2 linked regions of the Stegostoma tigrinum genome follow. The protein of the gene in region 2 purifies or fractionates together with the protein of the main gene of each other region. This does not show direct contact. Links are inferred from orthologs where the notes say so. Each region holds a gene or a part of one and is shown on either strand. Other genes may lie near its edges.

Region 1 (7,642 bases), on a different chromosome or scaffold from region 2:
ATTTAATAGCTAATGCATATAACTCCATAATTGAACATAAAGTCGTCCTCTGCTTTGTGACATGCTGAAATCTGGGTTTGTTTAAAGTACACCCGCTACAATTCCTTCCAAAATATGTGAAATCTGTTATACAAGGCTTGCACAAATGATCAAATATGCATATTGAAAAACAAAGAAAATCTGAGGATTGGTTATGAGAATATACAAAACTCAAGGAGCCCATCCAATTACATTCTCTGCTCAATACAGCATTTAGTAGGCAAATTCCATACAATGCAGGCCAAACTTATACTAAAAAGTTAGATAAATGTAATACAGTAGGCAAGGCATCACAATCCTTCTCAACTAAACACAGGCAATGTAATCTAATGCCTTGGCCGGCCGCCCCCCACCCAACGTTGCAACCATTCCCAGCACGTCACCGACATTCCTCTATCACCGAGGCATGACCAGAAGTACTTTCGTGAAGAACTAGATCAAATATATTTATATTTTTAAAAAACCATTTGGAACTGAATTACTACATTTCAACTGCTTTTCGGATCACGTCAATGGCAAAGGAGAGTCTTTTCGAGGTTGTGGCATATACTTATCACGTTGTAACTAGAACGAGGGGGAGTTGTTCTGCTCTATTTTTAGAAACAGCCGCAACACACAACTGTGGAGACTAGTTATTACTTCATTCCCCAATAATGCAGAAAGGGTTTTCATACTGCTGCCACCCAGTACCCACAAAACAAAGCATGTCCGCCAGAGAACATCTATTATCCAGAGAAATGGCTAACACTGGTGTGAGATCTTGGTCAGTAGTCAACTGGAAAACACGTTAGATTACAACATCAAAAAAATCCTTGAACACCCTAAAGAAAATTCCCGAGAACCTCGGAACATGGCCCGTCTTTCTTCCTTGCTGCCACCCCGCCAAAAAAACCTGATCTTCATTGAAAATACAACTGCTTACAACTGGCACCCGAGTGCTGCAGTGTTGCGACGGTACATTTCGGGAGAAGTAGGTTATGCTGATCTCATCCTTGCACTGTAGTCAGCGTCTGATCAACATGGGCCTAGGGGCCGGCACCCAATCTTCGAAAACATAAAATTTAACAGCCTTCCGAACGCCTGGCAGAAAATTCACCATTATATTCCTAGCATGTCTGCTGAAACTTAGAGTCCTGCCGCCTTTTTTTTGTTAAAAAAAAAGACCCAAAGGCACACTACTATTTGGACAGGTTTAAACATTTCCAAAGCGAGTTATAACAGCGGCTTACCGGGAACACTCATCAAAACCAAACTGCTGACACGATTGTTACAAGGCGACACATTGACATATATAGATCCACACAGTTAGACAGACAATCTCGGTGGAGTATCTGTGAATCCTCACGACCCAGGCACAAGTAAAGTCAGTTGTGCAGTGAAAGCTGCTAAAAGATCTCTCTGCTCACCTACATGTGTTGTTTTGGGGATTAAGGGTTAACGTCAGCTGTTGGTCTCAGTTGAAAACATCCAACCAAGACTGTGAATAACACAATTAAACGGCTAACCGTGAGTAAACTCCAAATTAACACACGTAACATTTTAAAATTAAGACCTCCTGCCACCAGACAAGTTTTGTGTAGTTTTCCACGCACAGAAAGCATCACGACAATACAAAATTATACACGACTTGGTTAACCGCTCACAATCAAAAATAATTGCTGCAATTTGCCAAACGGGAAAAAAATTCAAAGTCCGGATATAAAGGGCGAGGATTTTAATTCAACAACCTTGGGACAATTTTTATCTTAACGGATATTATTGCAACGCATTTGATTTCATTCTCAATAGCAGCAACTGGTCGAGGTCAGATAAAAATGATAACAAGGTGTGGAACTGGAGGAACACAGCAGCCATGCAGCTTCAGAGGAGCAGGAAACGTCTGGACCCGAAACGTCAGCTTTCCCGCACCTCTGATGCTGCTTGGCCTGTTGTGTTCCTCCAGCTCCACACCTTTTTATCTCAGACTCCAGCATCGGCAATTCTTACTATCTCGGAGGTCAGATAAAAGACCGGTATGGAAGGTCTGGAGGGATATGGGTCAAATGCTGGCAAACGGGGTTAGGTCCGTTTGGAAGCTCTGTTCGGTATAAACGAGTTGGACCGAAAGGTCTGTTTCCGTGCTGTACAACTCTATGACTCTACACACCTAATCAACAATGCAGACAGTGTGCTCCAGTCATGGTTGTACACAGTTCTGTGCTCTAGGACTCTGCATAATACATGCAGGTGCAAAATATCTGGATTACGACTAATAAGTAAATCCTTCATAAGCACCCATTTTCTGAATTCATTAGAAAAACAGACGGTACTGCTTTAAATCTAAAAGTCTGAGTCTCAGAAGCTTCATCTTTCCCCCATCTGCAGCCCCTGCACGGGGGTGGAGGGTGTCTGACAGTTTTCCACCCTCTGTTCTCACTTGCCCCAGTTTGCATGTGCATCAGACTTCTCCTCGTTTGTTTATATTTCTTTCCAAAGGCGGGATGTTCGTCCCCACCCCACCAAAAAAAAGAGCACAAGGGATGCAGTTTTACCTCCAGCATCCGAATCTCCTGTTGTGTCAAGTCGTTGGAAGCGGAACATTTGGTCCTGAGCCCCTCCAGGCTGGAGATGCTGATGTCGATCATGTCCTGGTTCAGGTCGCACTGCTGTAGGGCCTTCTCCAAACTCAGCTCCCCTTCGTCCTCCTCCTCGTCCTCCTCCTCTTCCTCACTCCCCTCTTCCTCAGCAACCGTAGCTTTCTTTATCTTATTGCTGTGACCCTTGCTGTTCTCTTCAGCCATTCCTAAACATTCGGCCTGGTTATATTTGTCTTCCCCCCTTTCCCCCCTTCCCGAACCCTAATTTCAGTACAACCGCCACCACACAAAAAAAAGTTTTCCTCACACAGAAAACATGAAAACTGCAGAAAATATAGATCTATTGAAATGATTAAGCTGAACTAAACACGTGCAAAAGTAAAAATGCAGCTGTCAAGTTAGTAAGTGTCCCTCTCCTGTGTGACAGCAGCCCATCTGAAGCTCCAGACGCCGCTTAATACTATGGATCAGCTTCGTTTATTTTCTTCTCCTCTTCCCCTTCGGCGGTGTGGGGGGAGGGGGCCGTGAGCGGTTGCTATGGGACTACGCGCTCTGCCTTCTGGGATTTGTTGTCAATTTCCACGGCAGAGCCCACAAGACAGGGAGGAAACCGACTACAATTCCCGGGGTGCAGCACCTCTCGCTCTGCCTTCTGGGATTTGTAGTCACGCCCCGAGGCTGAAGAAATCCAACTACAATTCCCGCCAGGCGCCATGCCTCCCTCATCCTCCCCACAAACCCCATAACAGACTCTCCTTAAAGCTCAATAAACGGCATAAACATGCTGCATACAGCTTTTCTAATCCAAGTTAACTGATCGCGACTCGTTCCCGTACTCGCAGATTTCCTTGCTATCACTGGTGTCCCCTTGCTTTCCTGAATCCCAAGACTTGTTGATCTAGTTGGACACCCTTTTCAAAAATGTTCTTGACATTCATAGTGTGGCAATTGCTAAACAATGCTGCGGTACCCGTAAATAATCACAAGTCTAACAGAAGTTCTCCCTGTATTTGAAAAGTAAACCACAAACCTTCACGAACAAGATTTTCGTCTGTCAGACATATGATCACAAGTCTCCACAGCACCTGTCAACCACTCAAAATCTCAAAGTGAAATATCCTGCAAGAATAAAACATAATAGATTACTTATTACTTATGCTGCAACACCTGAATAATTTCAGTGGCCAATTCCAATTATTATACGAGCATAGCGCTGACCTTAGATGTTCAAAATGTTAACAATTCAATTATGATGCATGACTTTCAGGATTGTGATATTCCTGGAAATATATCAGGCTCTTTATTGACATATCAATTCACAACACAAAAGTGCCAAATTGGCAAGTCAACCAGTCCATGTTAATGTTCATTTTCCATGTGAACAATCGTTCTATTTCCATGTTTTATATTCTTTTTCCTTCAATCTGCTATCTAACCTGGTTTTAAATGTTGACAAGGGTCTGAATTTCCCTATCCCAAATCAGGACAGAACAAAGGCAAGATGATAAAAAGATGGTGTTGGCAGCCTCCGTGTTTATCTACCAACTCCACTACCCAATTCTGGTGCCTTTCCTGAGGACAGTGGCTGGGGACATTGGGAAAGAGAGAAGGTGATGGAAAGGAAAATGAATAAAGAACAAAGAACAGTACAGCACAAGAACAAGCCCTTCACCCACCAAGACTGCACCAACACTTAATGCCTTTCTAAATTAAAAACCTTTTGCCTCAATGCAGTCCACATTCCTCTATTCCTTGCCTATTCATATATGTGGCAAGATGCTTCTTAAATGTTGCTATTGTATCTGCCTCCACCACCTCCTCTGGCAGAGCATTCCAGGCACTTATCACCCTCTGTGTAAAAAAACATGCTTCCCACATCTTCTTTAAATTTTACCTTCTTTTACCTTAAGTCAAGACCTGTGGTAATTGACATTTCTAGTCTGGGAAAAAAAAATCCGACTACACATTCTATCTATGCCTCTTGGAATTTTGTAAGCTTCCATCAGGTCACCCCACATCCTTTGATGTTCAAGTAAAATCAAACCAAGTTTGTCCAATCTCTCCTCATAGCTAATACCCTCCAAATAATGCAACATCCTGGTAAACTGTCTCTGTTGCCCCTCCAAGCCTTCACATCTTCCATATCGTGTGGCAATAAGAATAGTGTGAAAATTCCAAAGATGGCCTAAACAAGTTCTATACAGCTGCAACAATTTTCATACTCTATGCCCTGACTGATGAAGGAAAGCATGCCATACACCTTCTTACCATGTTGCCCGCTTGTTTTGCCACTTTCAGGGAACTGTGAACCCGTATAGCTAGATCCCACTGTATGTTGATGCTACTAAGGGCTCTGCCGTTTACTGTATACCTCCATCCTGCTTTAGATCTTCCAAAACGTATCACCTTCCATTCCTCAAGATTAAACTTGACCTGCCATTTCTGCACCCACGTCTCCTGCCTATCTATATCCTGATATGATCTCTGGCAATCCTCCTCACTATCCAATGCTCCCCCAATCTTTGTGTCACCCATAAACTTACTAATCAAGCCACCTACATTCTTCTACAAATCATTTACATATGTTACAAACAACAGGGGTCCCAGCACTGATCCTTGCAGAACATCACTAGTCACAGATCTCCAGTCAGAAGCCTTCCACACTACTCTCTGTCTTCTAAGGCTAAGCCAGTTCTGTATTAATCTTACCAACTCACTAGGATCCCATAAAACTTCACCTCTTCTACCTGTCTGCTATTAGAGAGCTCGTCAAAGAGCTTGCTAAGTCCACATGGACAACATGAATCATCCTGCCCTCACCAATCATTGAATAAGGCCAATTTTTTTCAAATCTGAGTAAATGCTTCTTAAATATAAGAACAAAGTTGGCTATTCTCCAGTCCTCTGGGACCTCTCCTGTGACTAAAGAGGATACAAAGATTTCAAGACCTCAGCAATTTCCTCATTTGTCTCCCTCAGCATCCTTAGGTAGATCCCTTCCGGTTCTGGGGACTTGTCTACCTTAACGCTTTTTGAAAGACCCAACACCTCTTGCTTATTTATATAAACTTGTCCTAGTTTATCAACATATCTCTCCAAAGACTCACCACTCACCATATCCTTGTACTTTGTGAATACATTGCAAAATATTCTTGAAGGAACTCACCCTCTTCCTCTGGCTCCTTGCTTAAATTCTCTCCTTTGTCCTTGAGTGGACCTTCCCTTTCCCTAGCTAACCTCCTAACTTTTATATATGTACTTCAAAAACCACAACATCCCCCCCGCAGTGATCGAGAACGCCCTCGACTTTGTCTCCCGCATTTCCCGCAACTCATCCCTCACACCCCATCCCCACAATAACCGCCAAAGGAGAATCTCCCTCATCCTCACATACCACCCCACCAACCTCTGGATACAACGCATCATCCTCCGACACTTCCACCATCTACAATCCAACCCCACCACCAAAAACATTTTTCCATCCCCACCCTTGTCTGCTTTCCGGAGGGATCACTCTCTCCAAGACTCCCTTGTCTGCTCCACACTCCCCTCCAACCCCAACACACCTGTCATTTTCCCCTGCAACCACAGGAAGTGCTACACCTGCCCCCACACCACCTCCCTCACCCCCATCCCAGGCCCCAAGAAGACTTTCCACATCAAGCAGATGTTCAACTGCACATCTGCCAATGTGGGTCACTGCATCCGCGGTACCCGTTGTGGCTACATCTACATTGGGGAAACCAAGCGGAGGCTTGGGGTCCACTTTGCAGAACACCTACGCTAGGTTTGCAATAAACAACTGCACCTCCCAGTCGTGAACCATTTCAATTCCCCCTCCCATTCCTTGGATGACATATCCATCCTGGGCCTCCTGCACTGCCACAACGATGCCACCTGTAGGTTGCAGGAACAGCAGCTCATATTCCTCTTGGGAACCCTGCAACCCAATGGTATCAATGTGGATTTCACAAGCTTCAAAATCTCCCCTTCCCCCACTGCATCCCAAAACCAGCCCAGCTCATCGCTGCCTCCCTAACCTGTTCTTCCTCTCACCTATTCCCTCCTCCCACCTCAAGCTGCACCTCTATTTCCTTCATTCTCTCCTCATCCCGCCCCCTTGACCTGTCTGTCCTCCCCAGATTGACCTATCCCCTCCCTACCTCCCCACCCACACTCACCTTTACTGGCTCTATCCCTGCCCCTTTGGCTTGTCTGTCTCCTCTCCACCTATCTTCTCCTCTAACCATCTTCGATCCGCCTCCCCCTCTCTGTCTATTTATTTCAGAACCCTCTCCCCATCCCCCTTTTCTGATGAAGGGTCTAGGTCCGAAACATCAGCTTTTGTGCTCCTAAGATGCTAATTGGCCGGCTGTGTTCATCCAGCTCCACACTTTGTTATCTTGGATTCTCCAGCATCTGCAGTTCCCATTATCTCTTTGATTTTCCTTAATCATGTTTGCCAAAGTCATATCATGGCCCCTTTTAGCCGTCCTTATTTAAGCTATTTCCTGCTGTCTTTGTATTTTTGGAGAGGTCTGTCTGCCTTCAGTTTCCGAAACATTACATATGTCTCCTTTGTCACTAAGCTCTCAATTTCTCTTGTCATCCAAGGTTCCCAAATCTTGCAATTCGCTTTCACAGGAACATGCTGTTCCTGACCTCTAATCAATTGGCCTTTAAAAGATTCCCAAATGCCAGATGTTTTTTACCCTCAAACAGTTGCCCCCAGTCTACATTTCCCAGTTCCTCCCTAATGTCGTGGTAGGTAGCTATCCCCCAGCTTAGTATATTCACCAAAGAATACCCTTGTCCTTATCCTTAAATAACTTAAAATTAACAGAATTATGGTTACTGTTCCCAAAATGCCCCACCTCCACCCCATTGAAACTTTAATAACCTGCCTAGGCTTATTCCCCAATACCTAGTCCAGTATGGCCCCTCCCCAGTTGGACTTTTACATATAGTTTCAAAAAAGTATCTTGGACACACCTAACAAATTCTCCCCCATCCAAGCTCCTGCTTTT
Region 2 (7,295 bases):
GATAGATTAGATTAGATTCCCTACAGTGTGGAAACAGGCCATTTGGCCCAACAAGTCCAAATCGCCCCTTGAAGCATCCCACCCAGACCCATTCACCTATAAGCCACACACCCCTGAACACTATGGGCAATTTAGCATGGCCAATCCACCTAGCCTGCACATCTTTGGACTGTGGGAGGAAACTGAAGCACCCGGAGGAAACCCACACTGATACGGGGAGAATGCGCAAATTCCACACAGACAGTCGCCTGAGGCTGGAATTGAACCTGGGTCCCTGGAGCTGTGAGGCTGCAGTGCTAACCACTGAGCTACCATGCCGCCCACAGTGATAGGTGATGAGAAAGTATGTTGTGATGATGATTTAAAGAGTTTGCAGAAGGATACAGTTTTGCTAAGTTTTGGTCAAAAATCTGGTAGATGGAATATAACATGGAAAAATGTAAGGTTGGTCACTACGGCAGGAAGAATGAAAGAGCAGAGTATAATAAAACAGGGACAACTGCAGAATTCCAAGCTGTAGAGGAATTAGGTGTGTTTGTGGCTCAAGTAACAAATAGTCAGAATGCAAACATAGTGCATCATCAAGGCGGCTAGTGGAATGCTAATCTTTGAATTGAACGTAAAACCACTATGATCATGGCTGATCATCCAACTCAAATCTCATTCCTGCTTTTCCCTCGTATCTCTTAGCCCCAAGTGCTATATTCAATTGCTTCTTGAAATCAAACCATGTTTTGCCTTGAATGGTTTTTGTGTTAGCAAATTCCACAGGTTCACTACTCATTTGAGTGTACAGAGGATTACTCCTAAAATTGCTCTACAGTTCAACTACATCCAAAGATCTCAAGTAAAATTAGAAACTAGAGGCTGCATTATAAAAAAATTACAGAAAACGTTAACAAGCAGACCATCGGTAACAAAACTTGATGGCAAGATACAACACCAGCAGATCAGATTATCAGTATAATAAAATTTGAGAAGAGTGCAAAATAAACATCTAAGATGAAGAGATTACTATCAGGAAGTAAATGCAAGATACTCTGGAAGATTCTGGGGAAAAGCACTGCTAAATTGTCACTGGGTGTACTTAGAAAGACTTAACATACTTTTGGATGAAACTGAAACATGTTGTTCCAATCTTGTGCCTTAGTCCAGATATTAAAGTATGTGCAGAAGTTGAAACAAATTTTATTCATGAAATTGTGTATGCAATTAACTGTCACCAACTAAGCAAAAAAAACTGCAAAGGATGCACCAAATTAGAACATTGATTGACCATATTTTGCTATTGCAGTTTCCCAATTTTAAAGTTTTATTACTTGGTCATGTGAAGAGACCGCAAGTGAAGAGATACAATGAGGAGCAATTTAACTGGAGAAGTGTGAATGTTGCAACAAGTATTTCTTCAAAGTTTTGAAAGTCTGATTAAAAAAACACTTGGGAAATGTCTCAGAGGATGACAAGAATTAGCAAAAAATATAAAAGGACAATTTCAACATATTCATATGCAGCAGAGACCTAACAAGTATAAACAAAAATTCCTTTGCTGTAAGAAAACTCCAAAAAGTAAACCAGATCAACTTCAATGATTTTTGAAAAGTGATTTTAATCAGTCTGTTCAAATGTTATCACAAACCTCCAGAGTTGAGCTTGAACCCCAACCTTCTGGCCCAAAGCCATCGGCATTCAGTGTTTCAAAGACCTCAGCTTCCCAGGGGATTTTTTTACTTACACACATCTCAGGTGGTCAATTCAAAATCCAGCAATGACCAGTGGAAGTGACTGCTCAGTTGCTTGGATAGAAAGACACAGATATACACAATACACTGAATAGGACTCAAACCTAGAATCTTCTATCGAGAAGTAAATGTGCTGCTGTCACTGTCCCAAACTAAAATGGAAACAAATATAACTAGAAATGCTTTCTTCCTGAATGAACTAAATGATCAGCTGCTAACCAAAGCTGCAACTTTTCATGTCAGACTCCATACGGCCGTCGGCGGACTATTCAGTCACTGGGGCATCACGCCTCACTCAGCCTCTGCACATCTAAATAGGAGTTAATGCAAACAGTTGACAACTGGCAACTTAGTTCTTTTTGCTTTCCTCACACTGGCGCATAAAAGATTCTTGCAGCACCTTTTTAGCGATATTTTCAGATCAGCCTATTAAACACAGGTCAAGGCTCGAATGTAGGATTTTCCAGGCCGCTGCAGCTCAATATACAGACATAAAGAGCGAAAAACTATTTCAGTTAATCCAACCTGCAGAATAATATTTCCAGATCTATTTTATCAATATTGTAACGCAGTGTTTTTCAGGCAACTATACCATTAAGTTTCTTGGTATTCAGTGCCGTTACAGTGTTTAGAACGAAAATACGCAGACGTTATATTGTTATTTTTTCCCCGGTTGAGATGACATCCTTGCCCTTATTCCGAAAACCCCACCAATCAATTTAAACCCATTATCGCTTGGAGGGGGGGAAATGCCCAATCTCGCGCCAAACGATTTTAAACCAGGTTATCTGTGATACCCCGAGGCAGATTAGGGAATTGGGAGCGGACAGGAGAAACAAAGAATTACTTAAAAACAAAATGCATTCCGGAGAACGAATTTTATTGGAGGCAAGGCCTTGGGAAATCCCTAAAAGAGGCTGCAAGAGGCAGCTTGACACAACCAGGCCCAGGCCGGGCCGTTACTCACTCGGCGTTATCCTCCCTGGTTGGGGACGGTCCTTCACCGACAGTGGTTGTGATGGTGAGAGTGGGCAGCACCGCTTTCCGTTTAGCGAACATCTTTAATCCGCCCCAAACTCTCTGCCACCAACACGGCGGCCAAGGGCTCCTCGCCTGGCGGAATGGCTGTCTTCCCTTGAAACCCCCCCTCTCCTTCTCTCCTCGTCAAGGCTTTCCCCTTTTTCACATTTGAATTTGACTGACGGCACCAGCGACCCTTCCGCGACTCCAACAGAAGGTCACAAACGCCCACAACTACTTCCGGGGTGAAGAGTAAAGCGGCGGCCGCGAGTTCCTCAGGGAGGTCAGGGGCGGGGCCTGGTTGCTAAGGAATGTTAAGGGCGGGGCCTGGTTGCTAAGGGAGGTCACGGGCGGGGCCTGGTTGCTAAGGGAGGTCAGGGGCGAGGCCTGGATCCTAAGGGAGAACAGTTCTGAGGAAGGGTCACCGGACTGAAATGTTAACTCTGATTATTTTTCTTAAGAGATGCTGCCGGACCCGTTGAGCTTTTCCAGTGGCTTGTGCCTTTGTTCGAGATTGGGTTGGGGCCTAGTTGCTAAGGGAGATCAAGGGCAGGGTTTGGTTGCCAGAAGTGTTTAATTGTTACTGCCCAGGCGGCAATTTGACCCGTATTCGTGCGCTAGCTCATTACATGAACATCATTATCTAGTGCCAAACCCCTGCGTTCCCTCCATCCATGTGGATTGTTTCTATCTAAACGAGGCACTCAATTGCTTCTTAAATTGCCCATCTTGAACTTGCCCTCACCACACTTCAGGGCAGTGTTCCACACCCCAACTACTTGTAGGATGAAAATATTTTACCTCACCTCACCCTTACTTCTTGGCTGTCTCCCTGTCTACTCTATCCAGCCTGCCCTTGAGTTTGAAAATATTTACCGGACCTCCTCTTAGACCTCCCTCCAAGGGGAACAGAACCATCTTTTTCAATCTATCCTCATAACTCATGTTCTTCAAACCTGGAACTTGTAAACTGCTTCTACACAGTCTCCAATGCAGTCACATCTTTCTTACATGGCACCCAGAACAGGGTAGGCCTAATAAGCTGAAGATACTGTATTCGTTACTTATTGCTCTCTCCCTACCTGACCTGTCATCTTCAATGATCTGTCTACACGTATGCCGAGGTTGCTCTACTCCTTCACTCCCCCCCCCCCCCCCCCCCGTCCATGAGAATGGTACTGCCAAGACATTACAAGGGTTGGGGGTGGGGGAGTGGAAGAATGGGAGACTGGGACTAGATAATGATGCTTATTGTTAAGGACAAACCTGGTTGCTAAGGAAGACGGAGCAGGTTTGACTCCATCTCCTTGGCATTCTCCCTCTGAGAGGAATTTCACAAGCACTTGGCTGGCAGCTGTGAGTGGTGAGCAAGAGATCACTATCTGCCATTCCCTGTCTTACAGTGTGGGCTTGTATGTCAGAATGAATGCAGAATACTGTTGCAGACAATAAGATACTCTGTGGTGCGATGTTGGTCCTATAACTGGACCCTATTTGCTCTATGAACTGGGAGATCTCAGCAATGTGACCATCTCCATGGCTTTTATCTCCTCACCACCAGAAGATGAACTTGGGAGGTCAGCAAAAGGCTGTCTGGTAACAAACAGTGCCATGGTTTAGAAAAGGCAGTTATAATCAGGTCAGTGAAATCTCACCAAATCTCACAGTATTTAATCATTTACTGTATTGAACTGCATTTAATTCTGGTCTCCCTGCTATATGAAAGATGCTGTTAAACCTGAAAGATTTTGGAAAAAGATTTACAAGGATGTTGCCCGGGTTGGTGGGTTTGAGCTAAAGGGAATGGCTGAATAGGCTGGGGCTATTTTCCCTGGCATGTTAGAGGCAGAGGGTTGACCTTATGGGGGAGTGGATAGTGTGAACAGCCAAGGTCTTTTTCCCAGGGTAGGGAAATCTAAAACTAGAAGCCACATGTTTAAGGCACGAGGGGAAAGATTTAAATGGGATCTGAGGAGAAGTTTTCACACAGAGTGTAGTGTGTGTATGGAATAAGTTGCCAGAGGGAATGGTGGAGGTGGGTACAGTTATGACATTTAAAAGCCATCTTTGGGCGTATGAATAGAAAGGGTTTAGAGGGATATAGGCCAAATGCTGGCAAAAAGAACTAGGTTAATTTAGGATCAGAGATAATGGGAACTGCAGATGCTGGAGAATCCAAGATAACAAAATGTGGGGCTGGATGAACACAGCAGGCCAAGCAGCATCTTAGGAGCACAAAAGCTAATGTTTCGGGCCTAAACCCTTCATCAGAAAGGGCCTAGGCCCGAAACGTCAGCTTTTGTGCTCCTAAGATGCTGCTTGGCCTCCTGTGTTCATCCAGCCCCACACTTTGTTATCTTAGATTAATTTAGGATATTTGGTTGGCATGGATGACTTGGACTGAAGGATCTGTTTCCCTGCTGTATAACTCTCTGACTCTTCTTTTTATTAATCTGTTGGATGTGGGCGTTGCTGGCCGGCCAGCATTTCTTATCCATCTCTAGTCGTCCTTGAGAAGGTTGTGGTGAGCTGCCTTTTTGAACTGCTGCAGTCCTCCTGCAATGGGTTGAGCCACAATGGTGTTAAGGAGGGAATTCCAGGAATTTGACCCAGCGACAGTGAAGGAACGGCGATATATTTCCAAGTGAGGATGGTGAGTGACTTGGAGAGGAACTTGGAAGTGATGGTGCTTCCATATTTCTGCTACCCTTGTCCTTCTAGAAGTAGTCATGAGTTTGGAAGGTGCAATCTGAGGATCTTTGGTGAATTTCTGCGGTGCATCTTGTAGATAGTAAGCAGCAGTGCGTACTGAGTGTCGGTGGTGGAGGGAGTGAATGCTTGTGGATGTAGCGCCAGTCAAGTGGACTGCTTTGTCCTAGATTGTGTCTAGCTTCTTGAGTGTTGTTGGAGCTGCATTCATCCAGGCAAGTGGGGAGTATTCCATCACACTCCTGACTTCTGCCTTGTAGATGGTGGACAGGCTTTGAGGAGTCAGGAGGTGAGTTACTCGCTGCAGTATTCCCAATTTTTGGCCTGCTTTTATAGCCACTGTGTTAATGTGGTGAGTCCAGTTGAGTTTCTGGTCAGTGGTAACCCCCAGGATGTTGATCATGGGAGATTCAGTGATGGTAACACCATTGAATGTCGAGAGGAGGTGGTTAGATTGTCTCTTATTGGTGATGGCCATAGCCTGGCATTTGTGTGGCATGAATGTCACTTGCCACTTGTCAATCCAAGTCTGGATCTTGTCCAGACCCTGTTGCATGTGAACATGGACTGCTTTAGTACCTGCAGAGTCACAAATGGTCCTGAACATTTGCAATCGTTGGTGAACATCCACAATTCTGACTTTATGATGGAGGGAAGGTCATTGATGAAGCAGCTGAAGGTGGTTGGGCCTAGGACATTACCCTGAGGAACTCCTGCAGAGATGTTCTGGAGTTGAGATAATTGACCTCCCCCAACCACAGCCATCTTCCTACGTGTCAGATATGACTCCAACCACCGGAGCATTTGCCCCCAGATACCCATTGATTCCAGTTTTGCTAGGGCTCCTTGATGCCACACTTTGTCAAATGGAGCTGTGATATCAAGGAGTGTCACTCTCACCTCACATCTGGAATTCAGCTCTTTTGTCCATGTTTGAACCAAGGTCGTAACGAGATCAGGAGCTGAGTGGCCCTGGCGGAACCTGAACTGGGCTTTGCTGAGCAGGTTATTTCTGAGCAGGTGCTGCTTGATAGCACCGTTGATGACACCTTCCATCACTTTACTGACGATTGAGAGGAGACTGATGGGGCGGTAACTGGCCAGGTTGGATTTGTCCTGCTTTTTGTGTACAGGACATACTTGGGCAATTTTCCATATTGTCAGGTAGATATTAACTACACAGAAACAGATCATTTAGCTCAACCGGTACACAGCAGTGGTTGTGCCCCACAAAAGTCTCCAACGCTTCAGCTAACACCAGCATCACTTGCTTCTTTCTTCCTTTATCTAGCTTCCATGTAGATGTAAGTCACCTCAGCTACCTCATGTGATACCTAAGCATTCCCTAGCGGAAATTGTTCCTCATAACTTACCTATTGAACTTATGAATGAACATCATATATTTGTGACTTGTACTTATTGTCTCTCCTGCAAATGGAAACATTTTCTCAGCATCCACCTGAACACTGTGGTAATCAATCTAATGACTGCTCAGACCTTTTGGTTTACAGACATGTATTCATGGCGATCCATGGTGATATGGGCCAGAGTAAACAGTAGCTACCAGTGTGATCTGCTACCCTATGCTTTTGCTGTTCCCCAACCCTGTGCTTTCCCTTGAGCAGCACAGCGGCTCAGTGGTTAGCACTGCTGCCTTACAATGCCAGGACCAGGATTTGATTCAACCCTTGGGCAACTGTCTGTGTGGAGTTTGCACATTCTCCCTGTGTTTGTGTGGGTTTCGTCCCACAGATGTGCAGGCTAGCTGGTTTGGCCATGCTAAATTGTGCCATCGTAACCAGGGATGTGCAGGCTAGAGGATTATTC

Evidence for each region. Proteins that work in one complex are often made in the same cells at the same time.
Region 1: the proteins of map2k2a (region 2) and kinase suppressor of Ras 1-like purify together in Homo sapiens (affinity purification with mass spectrometry; 4 studies listed by BioGRID and IntAct, with this or other methods). This does not show direct contact. The link is inferred for Stegostoma tigrinum from reciprocal best matches to the Homo sapiens genes MAP2K2 and KSR1.

What each region holds. Positions count from the first base shown.
Region 1 is NC_081380.1:37,782,807-37,790,448, forward strand, and holds the start of kinase suppressor of Ras 1-like, read right to left. Parts: upstream 3,102-7,642; 5' UTR 2,820-3,101; coding exon 2,571-2,819; intron 1,566-2,570; exon of another isoform or gene 1,269-1,565; intron 1-1,268.
Region 2 is NC_081383.1:37,564,957-37,572,251, forward strand, and holds the start of map2k2a (dual specificity mitogen-activated protein kinase kinase 2a), read right to left. Parts: upstream 3,040-7,295; 5' UTR 2,799-3,039; coding exon 2,707-2,798; intron 1-2,706. UniProt on the Homo sapiens protein: Catalyzes the concomitant phosphorylation of a threonine and a tyrosine residue in a Thr-Glu-Tyr sequence located in MAP kinases. Activates the ERK1 and ERK2 MAP kinases.